2 linked regions of the Caenorhabditis elegans genome follow. The protein of the gene in region 2 interacts with the protein of the main gene of each other region in a biochemical or structural test. Each region holds a gene or a part of one and is shown on either strand. Other genes may lie near its edges. The genes, in order: gld-4 and gls-1.

Region 1 (8,017 bases), 380 kb from region 2:
TTCAAGTCCACTCGAAGTCGCAACTCCTGTTACTGTTTCTCCAACAGATTTCATGCCAATCAGGTATATATATAATAGCAAACACTATTCCTAAGATCGTGGCGAGACTCACACAGAAAAACCGCGTGTGCCTTTAAATATTTTATTAAACTTTCTCGAAATGACGATATAAATATTTGATTTTCTATCGATGTTTCCTAAATGTTATATAATTCAATTAAATCAGAAAAATGAATATAAATCTTCAGAGAACTTGTCACAACTCCATATCACATTTCGACTCCAGTGTTAATAACTCCAGTTGATGCAAGATCGATCTCAAGAGAAATTGTACGTGTCAATCGTATAAGACGTGTTCGAACTCGTCAAGCATCTCGTTCCGTATTCAATAGTGTTCGTCGTCGACTTTCAATGATAACAGCTAATCGAACTGAAATTCAAATGAATACTCCACAAACATTGCCACGTAGCAAACGGTGAGCTTCCAGATTACGGTAGCCGGTCTCAACACGATCAAAATTACGAACCGTGTGTTTATAAGAAAAATAATTTATTCATTACAGAATCGACAACACTTCGACAGCCATGGAACCAGTGAGTTCGAATGCTTTTCAGAAAATTATTTCTGAAATTCTGAATAACTCACCTGCGTGTACAGAAACAATAAACTCAACAATAATTCCATCAAATTCATCGAATTGTGCGAAATTACGGGAATTTAATCGTCTCGAGTCGATTGGAATTGCTCAAATGGCAGTAGAAAATGAGAATGAAATTTTGGAAGCACTTGATTTTATTGAATGGAATATTCGACTAATGAGTTGTGAATCGGATTATGTAAGTTTAAAGCATTGAAGGATCCGTGTAAAAGTGTATTTTTCAGATTGACAAAGTCTTGGAAGACTTGGAGAATGAGAAGCTCAATAAACAGAACAAATGGGAACGAATCGAACTGATTTTGAGTCTCATTCAAGATTAATAAATTCGAAAAATACAGAGAATTATTTATTTAAGAGAAGCGGTAGTCATCAAATAATTACAGAGAAACACTTGCACACACATAATACTTCAATAAAAGCCATTTTTTTGGCAAAGGGTGAAGGCGGAGCAGGAAAGAATGTTGGAAATAAAACGAAACCTAATGAAGAATGTGTGCGTGTTTGTGAATGTTTAGGGCAAAGAAGTAATGAAAACCGAAAGAAAGAGCTCATGGAAATGAAAAGAATGAACGGAAGAGAGGAGCATGATGATTGATAGAGAACCCGATTTGATTATTCAGTGTGCGTTTTTGGGGAGCGACGACGAAGACGCGAAAACCGAAAGTGTTACAGTTCCAATACACGATAGAGGACCTGGAATTAAGAGAGCTGGGAGAGAAAGAACACAAAACATGAAGACCAATGAATGATATTCTGATACACTAGAAAAAATGAGGGAAAGAACAAAGCGGTTTGGGAATTATAGTATCAGTTCATAATAATTAGAACTGATATTATTATTTCCAAGCCAGAACACCTAGCACATTATTAGAAAGCGATTATTATCTCATTATCGTGACAGAACATCGCATACAATCACGCTTCATTGTTTTCGATACCGTACACTAGAGTCGTTTGAACTTCTACGAATGGACGGAATCTTAAACTGTGAATTGTGTTCCATTATACATGATCTTCGATGACGACAATAATATTACATAAGTATCGCAACTCGTGTGTGTGGGGAACAGGTAAAAGGGAATTTAAGAATATCTTGAGAATCATACTAACAGGCTAAAATCGTCTTCGAAGGAAGTAAACAAAATGTGAATAAAATGGATTGATTCTCAAGACATTCTAGATGTAAGTAAAACAAAGCGAAAAAGTTGCTATTTGAGAATGGACGAGAAACATATTACCGGAATTTTTGTAGCGAGTGCACGACGTGTATGTTTGGGGGCGAATATGGAAGTCATAATAATAATAAAAAATAATAATCAATGATGAATCAGATGATATTAACTCGGGGGAATATATGGAAAATAGAAAAAAATAAACAAGGGCAGCTTGAGCAGCGAGAGTTCGAAAATTTGGAAAGAAAAACAATTTTTGGGCATTTTCTGATAGGGAGTGTTTCTAAACGAGAATATAAAGGGAATACAATGATGGGTAGGAAAACGTAAAAAAGAAAACAACAAAATTGGTTAGGTGAGGGGAATATAATTCTTTTAATAACTTTTTTTGTATATTGTATCTACTGGGATTTTTCAATTGAAAACTAACACACGGGGACGACAAAAAGAGAATCTATACGGGGGTGTGGGAGAGAAAACAGAGTGAATTATGTGAAAACTTATGGGAAAGAGAGTGAAAAAACTGTTATCAGTATGAGAACAAGAAACATGGGAAGGGAAATACAATGCATCCATGAAAGTTACGCTATCGCTGCAGACGATTCACCTGAAAACTGAATGCGGTCATTGAAAGATTAAAAAAAACTATGGACGTAAACATTTTTTGACAGTCAATTTTTTCGAAAACAGCTGTTACAGTATCTCTAATAGCCAACCGAAGGCCTAATGTGAAAGTTTGTATATTTCAACGTTTCAAGCTTTTGATAACGATGCCATTTTGAGGGTGCTTACCAGGGGTGAGCGGCAATCGGCGATCGCCGATAGCCGATGAGAAAATAAGAACTCGGCGATCGCCGATGAAATTTTATAGTCCAAGATAGACCCCTCTGAAGAAGAAAAAAGGTATATTTTCGGATTTTTTTTCTCTACTTTTCGAATTTTAAGGTATCAAGGAGTGCTTTTCGTTGCCTACTTTTTTAGATTTTATAAATAATTCTTTGAAAGAGCTCTTAAAATTAATTGTTTACAATTGAAAAAAATAGGCCCACGCTGATTGCCGATTTTTTTTGGCAATTTGTGATCGCCGATCGCCGAAAAAAAAATTAATGTCGGCGATCGCCGATTTTTTTGGCCTGCTGCTCAGCCCTGGTGCTTACCGGTGGAACCAATTGTGGTTGATGATGGCTTAAATCAGTAGAAGAAGTGGCTGAGTTGTTGTCGAAACCACATTCGTTATCTTTACGCAAATGATGTTGCTTCTGCATTGAAGTATGTGCTGATGGAGGCGTCATGGGGGAAGTTGTAAGAGCATTTCTATAGGATCCTCTTCCAACGTTGACCACGGCCATAGATTGTGGAATTATTCCTAAAATCAGTCAATTTTATATAATTCTTTAAAAAATTTTAAATAGTTACCAACCATTTGCGGGTATTGGATTTCCATTGGTGACGTTGACATCTGCAGTGGAAGTATTGGTTGATGTTGTAATCGAAGACTTCTTTTTAACAACATCGGCATACATTGTTATTGGCTCTTCTGATGAATTATTCGAACCATCTAACGTCGAATTCTTGTTTTGTGAGCGAAATGAATCGTAGGGAATATTATTAGTGGGTCCACAATTTCTAGTATTCGTCTGCTGTCTGGATGGACTTGGTGAATTCGACGAGGCTCTTCTTCCTTGTCTTATATTGTTGTTCCATGATTCAACATTGTATTCATCTGACCCATCAGAGCCTTGTGAAAGATTACGAATTGAAGGACGCTGCCGTTGCGGGTGCGCATTACGATGTTTGTGTGATGGTGCCGCGGTACCTGCTGCATATCGTGAGGGTGGAGGATATGAGTATCCATTGAAATGGAATTCTGAAAATAGGAATTGCACAATATCAATGCAGATGTAAAACTTTAAAAAAAACTTAAAACTAAATCACTTTCGATAAAAGTAAAAAAAGAAAACTCACGATCTTGCATCTTGTCTTCACTGGTTGTCTGCGTTCTCTTCGATTCTCTTGCTGGCTGGGCAACAACTTCATTGAAGGGTTTCTTGAATTGAACAGGAACAGCAGAATTGTTTCGATTATTAATTCCGTTATCCTCATCTTCTTCTGAAGATTGATTTCCCATTGACGAAGACAGTCCTGGTGAATCAGTGTCTTCTCGCTCCGAAATACTCGCTGCAGTAGATACTGTGGCAGATGTATTGACGGATTGTGTAGACGTTGGTAGAGGTGGTCCAGTAAGAATCAAATCATTTTCACCATTATGATGACCTTCTGATTCAGTATCTTCTGCTTCCAATTCAACATCAGTTTCTCTTGTTGCAACCAATTCCTCTTCTTTTTTGTTGTCATCACAAGCCGGCATTTTTTCTAACGATTTCTTTGCTTCAGTTTGTTCCAGAATCTGCTTCTTCAACTGTTGGGCAAGAGTTTGACGATCATCTGCTGGATTTACAATCGTCAGAGGTCGAGAATCCCGCTTTTCTGCCTTCGCTGGTGCTTTTCTAAGCCAAGCGTATCGTGAAAGATCGACCATCGGAGAAACCAAAGTGTTATGCAATTGATTTAAGTCATACGATGCCGGTGCTTCTTGGCCAGGCATTGATAACACACCACTCATTAACCAGTTACGATATGTGAGCTCTTTTGATGTGAATGGCATAATGAGATGGAGAAGAGATCCTTTGTAAGCTCTCATAGCCACATGATTTTTCCCTTTTCGCTCGCGTAATGTGACGGCAACAAGTAATATTTGAAAAGCTTGCCCAAAGGCATTGGCTATTGAAGAAAAGTTGTATGTAGATCTACCGACATCATTTGCAGTAAGTAATGGATCTTCCAATGCTAGATTCCCTGGTTGAGCCTGCTTGTGACCGTATCTTGCTCCGCTAGCCGACTTTGGAATATAGCAACATTGTCCAGGTGATATTCCCATTTCTTCAAAGTTGAACTCTAAAGAATACAGCTCGAGGAAACGAAGCAATAAGTGTCCTAGATTGACTCCTCGGTCGTAAATTGTTCGACTTCGCATGTTTAGGGCGTAAAGCTAAAATTCATTTTATAGACGTTTTGAGCTAACGGAAAAATTACCTGGAAAAAGTTAACGAGCAAAAGGACGAGTCCATAGGAGGATAGACCTCCGGTGAATGTTTGATTGAGATTACGGTAATGAAGGAATTGTTTGAGCAGGAGAACAAGTGGTTCTATTAATGGAAACTCTTCTTTCACCTAAAAAAATGATAATATTTGGTATCTGTTACGGGTTTAATTATCGTACCTTTGCAATGTATGAAGCTGCTCGTACTCCTTGAACTGTATTGAATGAAATATCAATGCTCAATCGAGTATCTCTATCCACCATTTTCACAATAGGCACAAATGCTCCTCCATAGACCATCACCGACTCCGCAATATTGTCCGCTTCAAGTCCACGTGCTGTTTCAGCAAGCCACTGAATTAACAAATATATAAACTGGAAAGTAATAACTGATATAACTATGATTTGAATTCAAAATTCTTATCAAGATTTTCTCTTATTTAATTCTCAGTAAAAAACATACATCTCCAGGTGTTCCAACCCAATCATCGCATTCAACGAGAACGTCAATATCCGAAGTAGGTAAGAAGAGATTCGTTCTAAGACTTCCAAACATTGAGATTTTTATTGTTTTCTGTTTCCATCGCCGTAACACAGAATCGCGGACCTGAAAATTTAATGTTTATATTTTCCGTATTTTCCTTTTTTTTTCATTACGAGAAGTTACAGATTTCGAGTTTTCGGTTAACTTTGCTACATATTTCAAAAAATTAAGAAAAAGTAAAACTAACCTTCTCAAAGACCTTCGTTCGAAGTCGCGACTCTATCTCGTTCGGTTTTATCCAATGATACATATCGACAATTTCCTCGTGCAGTCCTTGAATATTCAGTCCGTACCGTTTCCTTCGCCATGGGGCGAACGGCAATGAATCACTATATCCAAACTCTGGAGTTTCACTCTGAAAATATATTGAATGATTAATCAGTTTTTAATTTTGATAACTAGTCAACATTTGTTTACACGTTTAAGTAAAACCTACTTTGCAAGTTCTGGACGTTGATGGCTGTTCCTGGGACTGACTAAGACGGCGACACGTATTTGGTTCATCCGAATTCATAGTCGAAGGAATCGATGAACGAGGTGTCGACGTTGACGGTTGTTGTGATGATGATAATCTGCTGTCTTCATTCATCTGAAAATAAACTTTTAGAAGTTGAAAAGAACCACGTAGTTCGAAGTTATAATGACAATATAAAGATCAGAAATCTTCCAAGAGAACTCATAAATCTAAAACTAAACTGAGTTCCGGAAGTCAAAAAAAAAAGAGCCCATAGATATGAAGAGGTTGTGATAAAAATGAGATGATCAGAACGGGAAAGAAGGAATTGGGGTGTGAAGAAGAAGGAGAGTGATAAGATAATCGTCGTTTTTCATGGGAATAGTTTTTGAAGGCTCTTCCCCATCTTTTAGACGGAAGAGTGAGAGTCGATGCGATGAAGATAAACGCAAAGAAAGAGATACCACGTTTTTCTAACAAAACAAAACAACTGTTGCTAAATACTTTGTAAAGAGAGAAAAATCATAAAATAAACTTGATTTGAGGGTTTTACATATAATGTAACATTATTCGTTACTATTTTCCATTATGATGAGCCCCATACTTTTTCTTTTTGCGTTTTTCAACGAATTAAACTTTTCTTAAACATTTGATAAAAATCAAGTTTTCTTGAAAGGAATTAAATTTCACTTCGTTTTGTATTTTGATGCCCATGGAGTACAAAGAAACAAACATCTTGAACACACATTCATTTTTTATCAATATTTTTCAAAAATAACTTCCATATGTTCTGCTTGTCGCGGGAACACAACAAAATACAACGTCACTTTTTCTCTTTGTCTCCCATGCATCTCAACATTTCAACAATATCAATTTTTGAGCCACAGGCAATGAATTCGGAGCAAGCAGATCTCGGCTTTCCGCGAAGAGAGAGACAGCGACAAAAAATCAGAGAGATCATAAGTAAACACCATATTTTTAGACGAGAAAGAGAGAAAAATACGCATTTTCTCAGAAATTTGTTTTTTATCTGAGTGGATAGAGATTAGAAATATAAATAGAGGAATAGGCGAGCTGATTCGAAGTACTGACTGAAATTTCCAGAAAAACTTGAATTTTCTATTATTTTTCCAAAATAAGAAAAGCAGGTATATAAGATTTGTTTGGTGATTGCTAGTAGTTTTTGAAGATAAACCCGGCTATCAGTAAGCAATCAAAGATAATCATAGATTATTTTAACAGAATTAGGCTTATAGGTCACAGTACTTATAAAAGTAAATTAATATTTTTACTCTCTCGCGTAAAAATGCGGAAGTAATACTCAATGAAACTTTTCAATAATAATTTCAAAGCGGAAGTGATAACTCAATTGTGAACCGAAAAAAAAGAAGAAAAATGGTATCGTCTCTATTCGACAAAAAAAGTTTTCTTTCTACAGTGTGTAGAAACGGACGTTGCTGGACGAGACGGAAAGATAAAAACCAAAGAAGAAAATCTTTCGACCGGCGGGTGGATGGATCTATGACGAGAGATTGTGAGATCGAGAGAGATTTAAATGAAATAAAGAGTGAGATGACGAAAGAAAGGTGTAATAACAAATACCATCTATCGACATTTTTATGCGTGTGATGGTTATGCATAATTAGTGAACTATTGAGACGTAAAAATGTATGTACGTTGACATTTCAGTGTAAGGGTTTTTTTTTCAAATGAAATTATAATTTAATTTAAATACCGATTTTTAAATTTTAAACTGGAAGAAAAACCAATTCAAGTAAAGAAAAAAGTTTACAAATTTTTAATAGTGAGGTAGCAATTCCTAAAGATATCTGAAGTAAAAAGGAAGCTTCTTAATCTTGTGCGCGCGCGTTTAGTACACTCGAAATTAGAGTCTCATGCACTACAAACATTCGGAAAAAAAAACAGTGAGACGAGACTAGGAAACACACAGCCACGGTCATCGTCCACATACACCACCCTCTCTTCCACTCATATTCGTTCGCACTCCCCGCCTCTCTCTCACTCTTCGCCACTATTATCAAAATAGCCGTTTGCAGTTTGCACAGCAGCAACCAGCCAGACCCATCG
Region 2 (8,402 bases):
CAACTTCAACAAAAACACTACGGATCGAATTCGTCCAAAAATATCGATTTTTCACTTTAATTCTCAATCTCTTCGAGTAATTTGAGTTTTCAACATTTTTATCATGTTTCGTGTTCTTGCTCAACATTTTAATTTTCCTCAAATCATATTGATCAGATATGTACATATTAAAAATATTATTGTTTCTTGATTAAAATCTAAATTTAATGGTGCATTGACACGATATACAAATGTGCCTTTAAACTAATTTTTTATTAAATTCAATAATATTTATATAATGTCAAATCATCCAAAAATCATCAATTCTTTCACACAGTGTCTTCCAAGCTTTGCAATATATTCAAATTTGTCTGTAACTTTCTGAAATTTGCCTATTTTCCAATTGTTCATCAAGCCTTTTCATCCTCAGGATCATCTGATTTTTCTTTTTTTACCTTTACTTCCCGAACCCTCATCCAAAATTGTCATTTCCTGCCATTTTCAGTTTTCAATCGATTCTAGAAAAGTGTCCATCGGGAACATGACGTAACAAGGTCCATTCATTTTTTTTTCTGAAACAACTTACTCCATTTCTAAATAATCTTCGAAAGTGGTGATTTTAATAATTCATTCCGTGGTTTCAATTTGTAAAATCCCGATTATAATTAATTCCAAATGCATTTTCTTAGTTGTCGCATACTTTAAAAACTGTTCAATTATTTCATTTGTATTTCATTTTTAAAAATGTGTAAAATTTTATGTTAGTGTGAGTCATCATTTCACGAAGCGATTCTCGAATTTTTTGTATCCCAAATGTTGTGTTTTTCTCCTCTATCAGCATAAAGTTTTGTAAATATTTTTTTAGTTCCACCGTTCATTTCGCACCTAAGAAACAATTAAAATAATTGGGAAAATGAAAGAAAATTTAGAGGGAAGAGAGAGGGAGAGAGAGATAGGGTTACAAAAAAAACAAGAAATCAACGATATTATTCTTGAAGGTGGAAGACGGGGTGGTCAAAAAGATATATGTATATATAAACAAAAATATGTATAAATTAAAAAAGTGAATACCTAAACGAAAGAGAGAAATGACCAGCATTTTGAAATATAGAAAACAGAAAAAATTGAATAAAACTAATCAGGTGGTCTTGGCTTGTGAATTATGAAGAGAAAGAGAACGTTTTTCGAGACTTCAGTGATAATTTGTTATAGTTTAAACGAAGTTGTACCACGTGTACGTACCTAACGAGAAAATGTCGCTTTAAGGATGATGATGGCAATCGGGATGTGATGGATCAGAGAAATTCAATAATACACGTGTCGATGAAAATTAAAATGTGTGAGCGTTAAACATAAACAATGAAAAAAAAATTGGGTGAAAGAAAGAACAAAAAAAGAAGAAAACTATTACGAAATCACAAGAATTGATATAAAAAGGAGCAGCAATTCAGCATCTCTCAGAAATTCGAATTCTGGTTCCCGCCCCCACTGTTTCCGTTGACTCCACCAGTATTATTTGAGTTTTGTACAGTTCCCTGGGCATGATAGTATGCTATCGGAATTTGCGGTTCATATGTTCCGTTTGCACGAAATTGTCCACCTGAGAAATTATTGTGTCATGTTGAATCAATTATTCTAATTTTTAAAAGTTTAATACATACCATTATGGAATATAGTATTCTGAATTATGTGCTGTTGTTGATGATGATTGAAGTGATTTGATCCTAACATTGCTTGCGGATTTTCAATGTATACTGCATGGGGGAGGTTTGCATGAATTGGAGCGTATGAATTGGAAGAGGAAGTTCCACCATTTTGCTGAGAACCTTCCCCGTCTGAACGAGTTCTATGATCACCTTAATAATTGATTATTCTCATTATTGCCATCTAATTCAACTTGTACATGCCTTTCTTCGATAACAATGTTTGTTTTTCACAGTGTTTCGGAGCGTGAGGACCGCCACAATTAGAGCAACTTGGGAACAGCGTCTAGAAATTGAAAATTTCTCAGATTTTACGAAAATTCGAAATCAAACCTGCACTTGTGTTTGCGGGATATTTGAATAAAGGAATGGTTGCATATTGACAGGCAATTCAATCGGGTCAATGCTTCCTGTTGCATTTCGTTTGAAGTAACGAACTGGAGATTTGGCACGTGGATTCTTCCATCGAGAATATATTAATCCATCCGATGCTTCGCGAGTTTCCTGCAATAGCTTTATTTCGGAATAGATTCGTTCTTTTCAATCAATCTAGAAATGAACAGTATCAGAAACTAACATCTTCTGTTTTCGCTCTGGTACCGTTGAACTCTTCACATATTACAGCTGACAGCATCATTCTAGCTGGCAAGTCAGAAAGTTCATTGATGTATTGAACATATTGAGCTGGAGTCGCATCACGAGCAAGACGTGGAACAATACGCTCTCCGTTTGGAGCAAACGCTGCAAAAATAAAAATTGTAAATTAGAGACTATAAATTGAAAATACATACTCTCCATTGTAGATGTGCTCGCTGAAAGCTTTTTGTTATCATCGTCAAATGAAGAGTAGGATGTAGTGCATCCTTGATGAAGATATTTTTCACTTCTCTGTTGTCCGAACTCATCAAGAAGACGATGCTGTAGAGCTTTCAATTGATCACGAGATCTTTGAGCAAATGTTCTGTCACCATCACTCCAATGAATCTGAAAACCTTTATGATTTCAGAAACTTCAGGTTGCGTGTTACCTCCAGGCTGAAAAGATTATCGTTCTTCTCAATTTGTCGTCCAATAAATCGAATGATAAAGAATGTTCCCGGAACTGATGGCGACGGCTGAACTGGATTACTCTCGAAACGCGAACCTGAAAAAAAGATGCGGAATGTTATCAGTGATTTAGTTGGAATGTTCCGAACTCAATTCATCGACTAATTATCGAAAAATTTCTAGAAATGCATGTGAAAAATTCTGTTAAATATTAATTAATTGCTTACCCATAACACCTGATAGTGGCTCAAATTCTTCCTCTGATTCATGGTCGGAATCAGTATCATTCTCATCGCCAACAGCTTGTGATGATGGTACAACAAGATTGCTTTGCTCCAACTGTTTCTGAGTTGTGTAGTATTGTCTAAACAATGTTTCTATTTGAGCACGTAATCCGTCCCGCAGAGCCGCATATTTCATTTTGTCATCAAGAGTAATTGCTGGGTGATGAGTCATGGCTGCGACTGAAACAAAAAAGTATACTCCAAAACACGGAAATGAAGACTTACCAATTTTACCGATTTCTTGTAAAACGGTAATTTTATCAAGTTCATCCGGAATACGTTCGAGTATTTGGCTCTTTTCTCTCAGAATAACATTTTGAACATAGTCAGAGATCTTTAAATAAATCGATTAAATACCATCTAAAGTCGTATTCTGATTCACCTTAGCAGCTGATTTTCTATTTGTTGATGAACAAACTGCCATGAGAGTGTATATGTAACTGGTAAGATCGAGAACAGATTTGAGAAACAATTCTGGTTCTTGAGGGACCGGTGGTACCGACTGTGGTACAGTCACTGAAGTTGGATGTGCAGGGTTTGCTGCTGTGGTGGAGATGTGATTAGAACCGGGCTCCGGTTCTGGTGATGTTGTATTAGATTGGTTGATATTGCCGCTCGAACCTGAAAAATGTTGCGAATTTGAGAGGGAAATTGTGTTGTAAAATACATTTTTTAACTGTGTCAAATAATGATGAAGATTTTTTACCTCTTGCAGTATTTGGTTTGGAATCTAGCTGTTGTCTATCTGATGGAATATTATTGCTTATTCCGTTCACACTACTTGATAGCACAACTGGTACATTGTTAACATCCTTATTTGCAACGGAAACTGATGATGAAGGTGTCGTACAAGAGGTTGAATGATGAAAGTTAGCATCAGGTGGATACATAATATTCTGCCTGAAATAAAAAATTTTTAAATTATAATTCACCGACAATAATGCATACATTCCGCCTAATAACGGTGGAAGACCAGGTGGATGTTGCTGTACAAAAACCGAGTTAACTGCATTTCTTGTTTGATACAGGGCAGCATCCGCAATACCAGGAAAATAATAAACTTGTTGCGGTGGAGGTGGAGGAGAGCAAACGAATTGAGGTAAACCAGCTGTTGGATCCGAACAGTTTGAAGTCTTTTCTACTGGCCGCATTTGATTGTTATAGCAACGAACAGATCCTTCGATACAATTTCCAAGCAGGCGAAGATCGGTTGGAGACAGGAAAGAAACAAGTTCACACATAAACTCCACCTTATCCCATTCATCGTGCTGCAATCCAAACTACGTTTTGAAAACTAATAACTTTTTAAAAATTTTGTTTGAATAAAAATGATAAATACTAAAATGTCTTGTATTTATGAATCACCTCTTTGAATGCCATCACAGAATCCATATTTTTCGGATCAGTGCTCTTATATGGCATCGGCTCTTCATCACGCTTGATTTTTGGTTTTTCCTTCTTCTTTTTTGCTTCTTCGACTGGTGGATCTGTTTGAACTATTTTGGATTCTTGAAAGATGGGAATAGCAGTCGGAGTTGTGCTCACTGGAGGAGCAGAAGACGCTGATATTTGTCCCGCAGAGGATAGGGAAGAATTTGACAGAAATCCAGAAGATTTAGCATTTTCCAACGAGTGATAATTATTGTGGTTATGTGTGTAGCCACCTCGATAACTTTGGTTCGAATGATCACGATTCTTAACATTAAAATTAATTTTTATCGTAATTATACGTTTATACAAACCTTATTCTTTCGGTTCTGCTGATTTCCGCTAACATGGTTTGAATGATGATGATTATGGTTAACCTGACTTTGCCTATTACCACTGTGAGTGTTTCTGAACGAGCAAAAGCTAAGGATTTGTTTTAACTAGTTACTGATTTAATTACTTCTCCTTTTCCTTCGGCCGATCTTTATTTGTGGTTCCTTTGAAAGCACCCGATTGTGAATTAGCAGTGTTGCTTGTCTGCAAGTGAATCATAAACAGGTTGAGAAAACATGTGTTTTAAAATATGAAATAATTATGCACGATAGACTCAGTCGAATTTATCTTCGCCTACTTACCTTCTCAAGCTCGTTGTGCCCAGCCTTTTTGGCAGGAAATTTAGAAATTCCAGTTTGCTGTGACGTTGAAGAAGTCGATGAAAGTCTTTGATGTGAATATTGATTTTGAGATTGACTCTGCTGTGAAGAAGGTACTGTAGTGGTCGTAGTGGTAGTTGAGGTGATGGACGATGTAGACGTCGAAGCGTCTGAAATGAATATAAATAAATTCTATGAATCTTGAGAGTTGAATTTTCTTTAAATTTACATTGTTGCTTACCGCATTTTAGAGACCCTTTATGTTTCATTTTAACGTTTTCTTGAGAATTTTGTTGAAGTATTCCAAAATCAGAAGAGAATACATAGAAATAATAGGACATTGAATATATATATATATATATATATATATAAATCAAATTCTAAAATTAAATCAATAAATATGAAATGATTAATATAGACGTTCCAATCTAATTGTTAAAATTTAGATGCTAGAAAAGTCATTGCTTATCACTCATCACATCAATAGGGAAATCAAATGTAATAGTTTGGGTTATAATAAATAAATCGACTTTCGCACCTTGATGCTTATTGAAAAGAGAAGAGGAAGAGATGGAAAAGGGGCATCGTGCCTGTGTTGGTGGCCTCTTTCTCTTTTTTATTTTTATTATATATGTTTGCCCTCCTCGGTTCTGTACTCGTCTATTCACTTTCTTTCTTTTCTTCGGGGTCATTTTTTAAGCACAGATTGTGAAGACCAAGGTCTCCAAAATCTCGATTTAAATGAACCATTGGAAATTAAGACACAAAATTTTGAATTAATTTGCAATTGCTGCAAGAAAATTCTAAAACCTATTTAGGAACAGCCGTCCTTGTTATTTCAAAACAGATTTGTGAGAAACGTGTATACGTACTATTGCTGGAAGTGTTATCGTTGGTGACGCTATGACTGGAATTGGAATTTTGTCCAATTTGTGATGAATTCTGAGTTGTTGCAGCGGCAGTTGCTGTTGCGTTATTCCCGTTCATCGTTGACCCGTCTGTACTTTTCTTTTGCTGATGGTTCTGAAACTAGGGAAAAATATGTCGAATTTCACTATCTTTATCAACACACCTTTTTATTGGCCATACTTTTCATCAAAATACCAGTTAACCGAGACTTCTTACGCTTTTCTTGAAGAGTTAAAGCTGTGACGTCTGAACGGATAAATTTTAAAAAAATAAGGAAGGAATGAAATAAATAAGATATCAAACATCGCATACTTACGATGAATTACAAAAAGTTAATAGTAATAAGAATCATGTACAGATTTTATATTTACACGTGAAAATTGTGGGCTGCCCGAGTAAACAACAGGTGAATGAATACATATAAATTAAAAAAATAAACAGCAATTTCAAAAAAAAATTCAGTGGTTCTCGACAACCTTCCATTTGCAAAATTCGAACTTTAATCCATTTTCTTCGAAAATTTCTGAATTTTCCGATGACACCTCGGCATTTTGAACTTTCTCCATTTTACTGAAATCGAGTGACTTGAGATGAACATCGGCTTCGAAGCTGAAATTACGACAGAGTAAAAAAACTGTGCAAGCACCCTACTTTTTGAAAATACGTGTCAAGTGAATTTCATCAACCAAGTTTTCTCGCAACGCAAGATCATAGATTTCAGCTCCACCGATATTCCAGATTGTTTCGATCGAATCCACAAATGGTGGCTCCGAAAGTAGTTTCATAGCCGCTTCGAGCGAGTTTCTGAATGTAACAACAACAGGTTAAATATTATTTCATGACAGCTTACACAACAATGTAGTCATCGGACTTTTGCGCAGGAAGTTGTCGGCTCAAAACAATGTTTAGCCGTCCTGCCAACGGGCGGCGAGTTACTGGAATGCTTTCCCAGCATTTTCGTCCCATGAGAACTGCATTTCTCTACAAAAGTTATGTTACAAGTTTAGTTAGAAATCTCGAACAACCTTCGACTGATCAGAAACATTTTTGGTAACAGACGCGAAATACTGCATGTCTTTCTTGATTCGCCATGGCAACACGCCATTTTTGCCAATTCCTCCTTCGGCATCCATAGCCACTATTAAGTTCATTTTTCTCATTTTTAATGCCTAGAAATAGAAAATAACTCGATTGAGATACCAGAGAAAATTTTAAAAACGGGTAATGAGAACTTTGCACAGCAAAACGAAGCACATTTGAAATACGCTTCCATTCGACTTCGTATCGACTGAAATCTTCAAACAATACAGATTTCGAAGATAAAGATAATGAATCGTGGGAAAATCAATAAAAATAGATAATCAAAAAAAAATGAGGGTGAAAATGAATCGAGAAGAAGTGAGAGAACCTCAGATTTCTTCAAATTATCATTAGAGCGCGATTACTGGTTCCCACTTTCGAAGAATTTTCACCGCTTTTTTTGAACTTTTATGCCATTTTCTTTCCTTTGTTCACTTTAAAATGTTTTAAACTTCACAACTAAATATAATAAATTATAATAAAACTACAAGCCCATTCCTATGTCTCACATCTTCGTTCTGAATGTCCTAATATATAACTTCATATTCTTTACAGTGGTTTTTAAAGTAATTAAATTTTTTAAGAGCACACAAAATGGCTGAAAATGGCAATTTTGCTGTTCCAGCACCGCCAAGACAGTTTGGATCACTGGCGAATGCAGAAAGCGTGAATGCAATCTTGGTATGTTTTTTTTCATGAATTCTTTGACTATGTTATTTTTTCTGAATTTTAATTTAAAATTTCAGAATGCACAACAGCAAAACCATGGACCCACAGTGTCTTTGGAACGAATGGAAGTATCAAATCAAGCAGATTCACGCCACGATGCTGAAATGTTTGCAGAATTTGATAGAAGACGGAGAGCAAGAACTCTCACATTGCCAACAGATGATGTTCAGGTACAGTTTTGATACATATGAATAAAATTTTTTTAATAACTACCCACTTGAAGATATATTTTAAAGGTAAAACTGAAACTTCGTGCTCTAAACCAACCAATTTGTTTGTTCGGAGAAGATGCATTGGATAGAAGAGAAAGACTTAGAGCTCTACTTTCAACAATGTCTGAAGATGAAATTGCAGCCGTTTTGCATACTGATGAAGTAAGTTTTTCAATGTTTGAAAAATTATTTAAAAATTTGAAGGTGAATGCTGATAAAGCAGACGAAGAAACCGTTACTTGGTATCATCGTGGTCCGATTGAACTTCGGATGGCACGCGTTTCAATCGCTGATTTTTCTCTAAGAAAAGCTAAATTAAGACTTGACAAAGCTCGAGAAGAAGCTGCTCGCCCTGCTCACGAAAAAGCTTTGGCTCGTC

What was found.
Region 1: of the proteins of gls-1 (region 2) and gld-4, one has a biochemical effect on the other in vitro, tested with the Caenorhabditis elegans proteins (one study listed by BioGRID).

What each region holds. Positions count from the first base shown.
Region 1 is NC_003279.8:9,116,162-9,124,178, reverse strand, and holds gld-4 (Poly(A) RNA polymerase gld-4), read right to left. Parts: upstream 6,065-8,017; coding exon 5,912-6,064; intron 5,831-5,911; coding exon 5,663-5,830; intron 5,539-5,662; coding exon 5,395-5,538; intron 5,286-5,394; coding exon 5,112-5,285; intron 5,063-5,111; coding exon 4,925-5,062; intron 4,881-4,924; coding exon 3,797-4,880; intron 3,699-3,796; coding exon 3,252-3,698; intron 3,198-3,251; coding exon 2,989-3,197; intron 2,439-2,988; coding exon 2,418-2,438; 3' UTR 998-2,417; downstream 1-997. Other genes in the region: ZK858.2 (uncharacterized protein), read left to right, coding at 1-63, 249-476, 564-837, 884-979. UniProt on the Caenorhabditis elegans protein: Cytoplasmic poly(A) RNA polymerase that adds successive AMP monomers to the 3'-end of specific RNAs, forming a poly(A) tail. The enzymatic activity is enhanced by its interaction with gls-1.
Region 2 is NC_003279.8:8,734,982-8,743,383, reverse strand, and holds gls-1 (Germline survival defective-1), read right to left. Parts: upstream 6,313-8,402; coding exon 6,166-6,312; intron 6,117-6,165; coding exon 5,966-6,116; intron 5,264-5,965; coding exon 5,076-5,263; intron 4,978-5,075; coding exon 4,901-4,977; intron 4,849-4,900; coding exon 4,755-4,848; intron 4,708-4,754; coding exon 4,378-4,707; intron 4,281-4,377; coding exon 3,961-4,280; intron 3,913-3,960; coding exon 3,719-3,912; intron 3,634-3,718; coding exon 3,395-3,633; intron 3,347-3,394; coding exon 3,238-3,346; intron 3,193-3,237; coding exon 2,956-3,192; intron 2,826-2,955; coding exon 2,710-2,825; intron 2,667-2,709; coding exon 2,474-2,666; intron 2,424-2,473; coding exon 2,260-2,423; intron 2,196-2,259; coding exon 2,016-2,195; intron 1,969-2,015; coding exon 1,887-1,968; intron 1,836-1,886; coding exon 1,641-1,835; intron 1,580-1,640; coding exon 1,437-1,579; 3' UTR 836-1,436; downstream 1-835. Other genes in the region: dhfr-1 (Putative dihydrofolate reductase), read right to left, coding at 6,461-6,611, 6,654-6,806, 6,853-6,983, 7,028-7,162; prp-4 (Pre-mRNA processing factor 4 (PRP4)-like domain-containing protein), read left to right, coding at 7,677-7,763, 7,829-7,981, 8,048-8,185, 8,228-8,402. UniProt on the Caenorhabditis elegans protein: Required maternally for germline survival by forming a maternal complex with gld-3. During hermaphrodite development forms a complex with gld-3 which promotes the sperm/oocyte switch freeing the translational repressor fbf to turn off sperm promoting factors.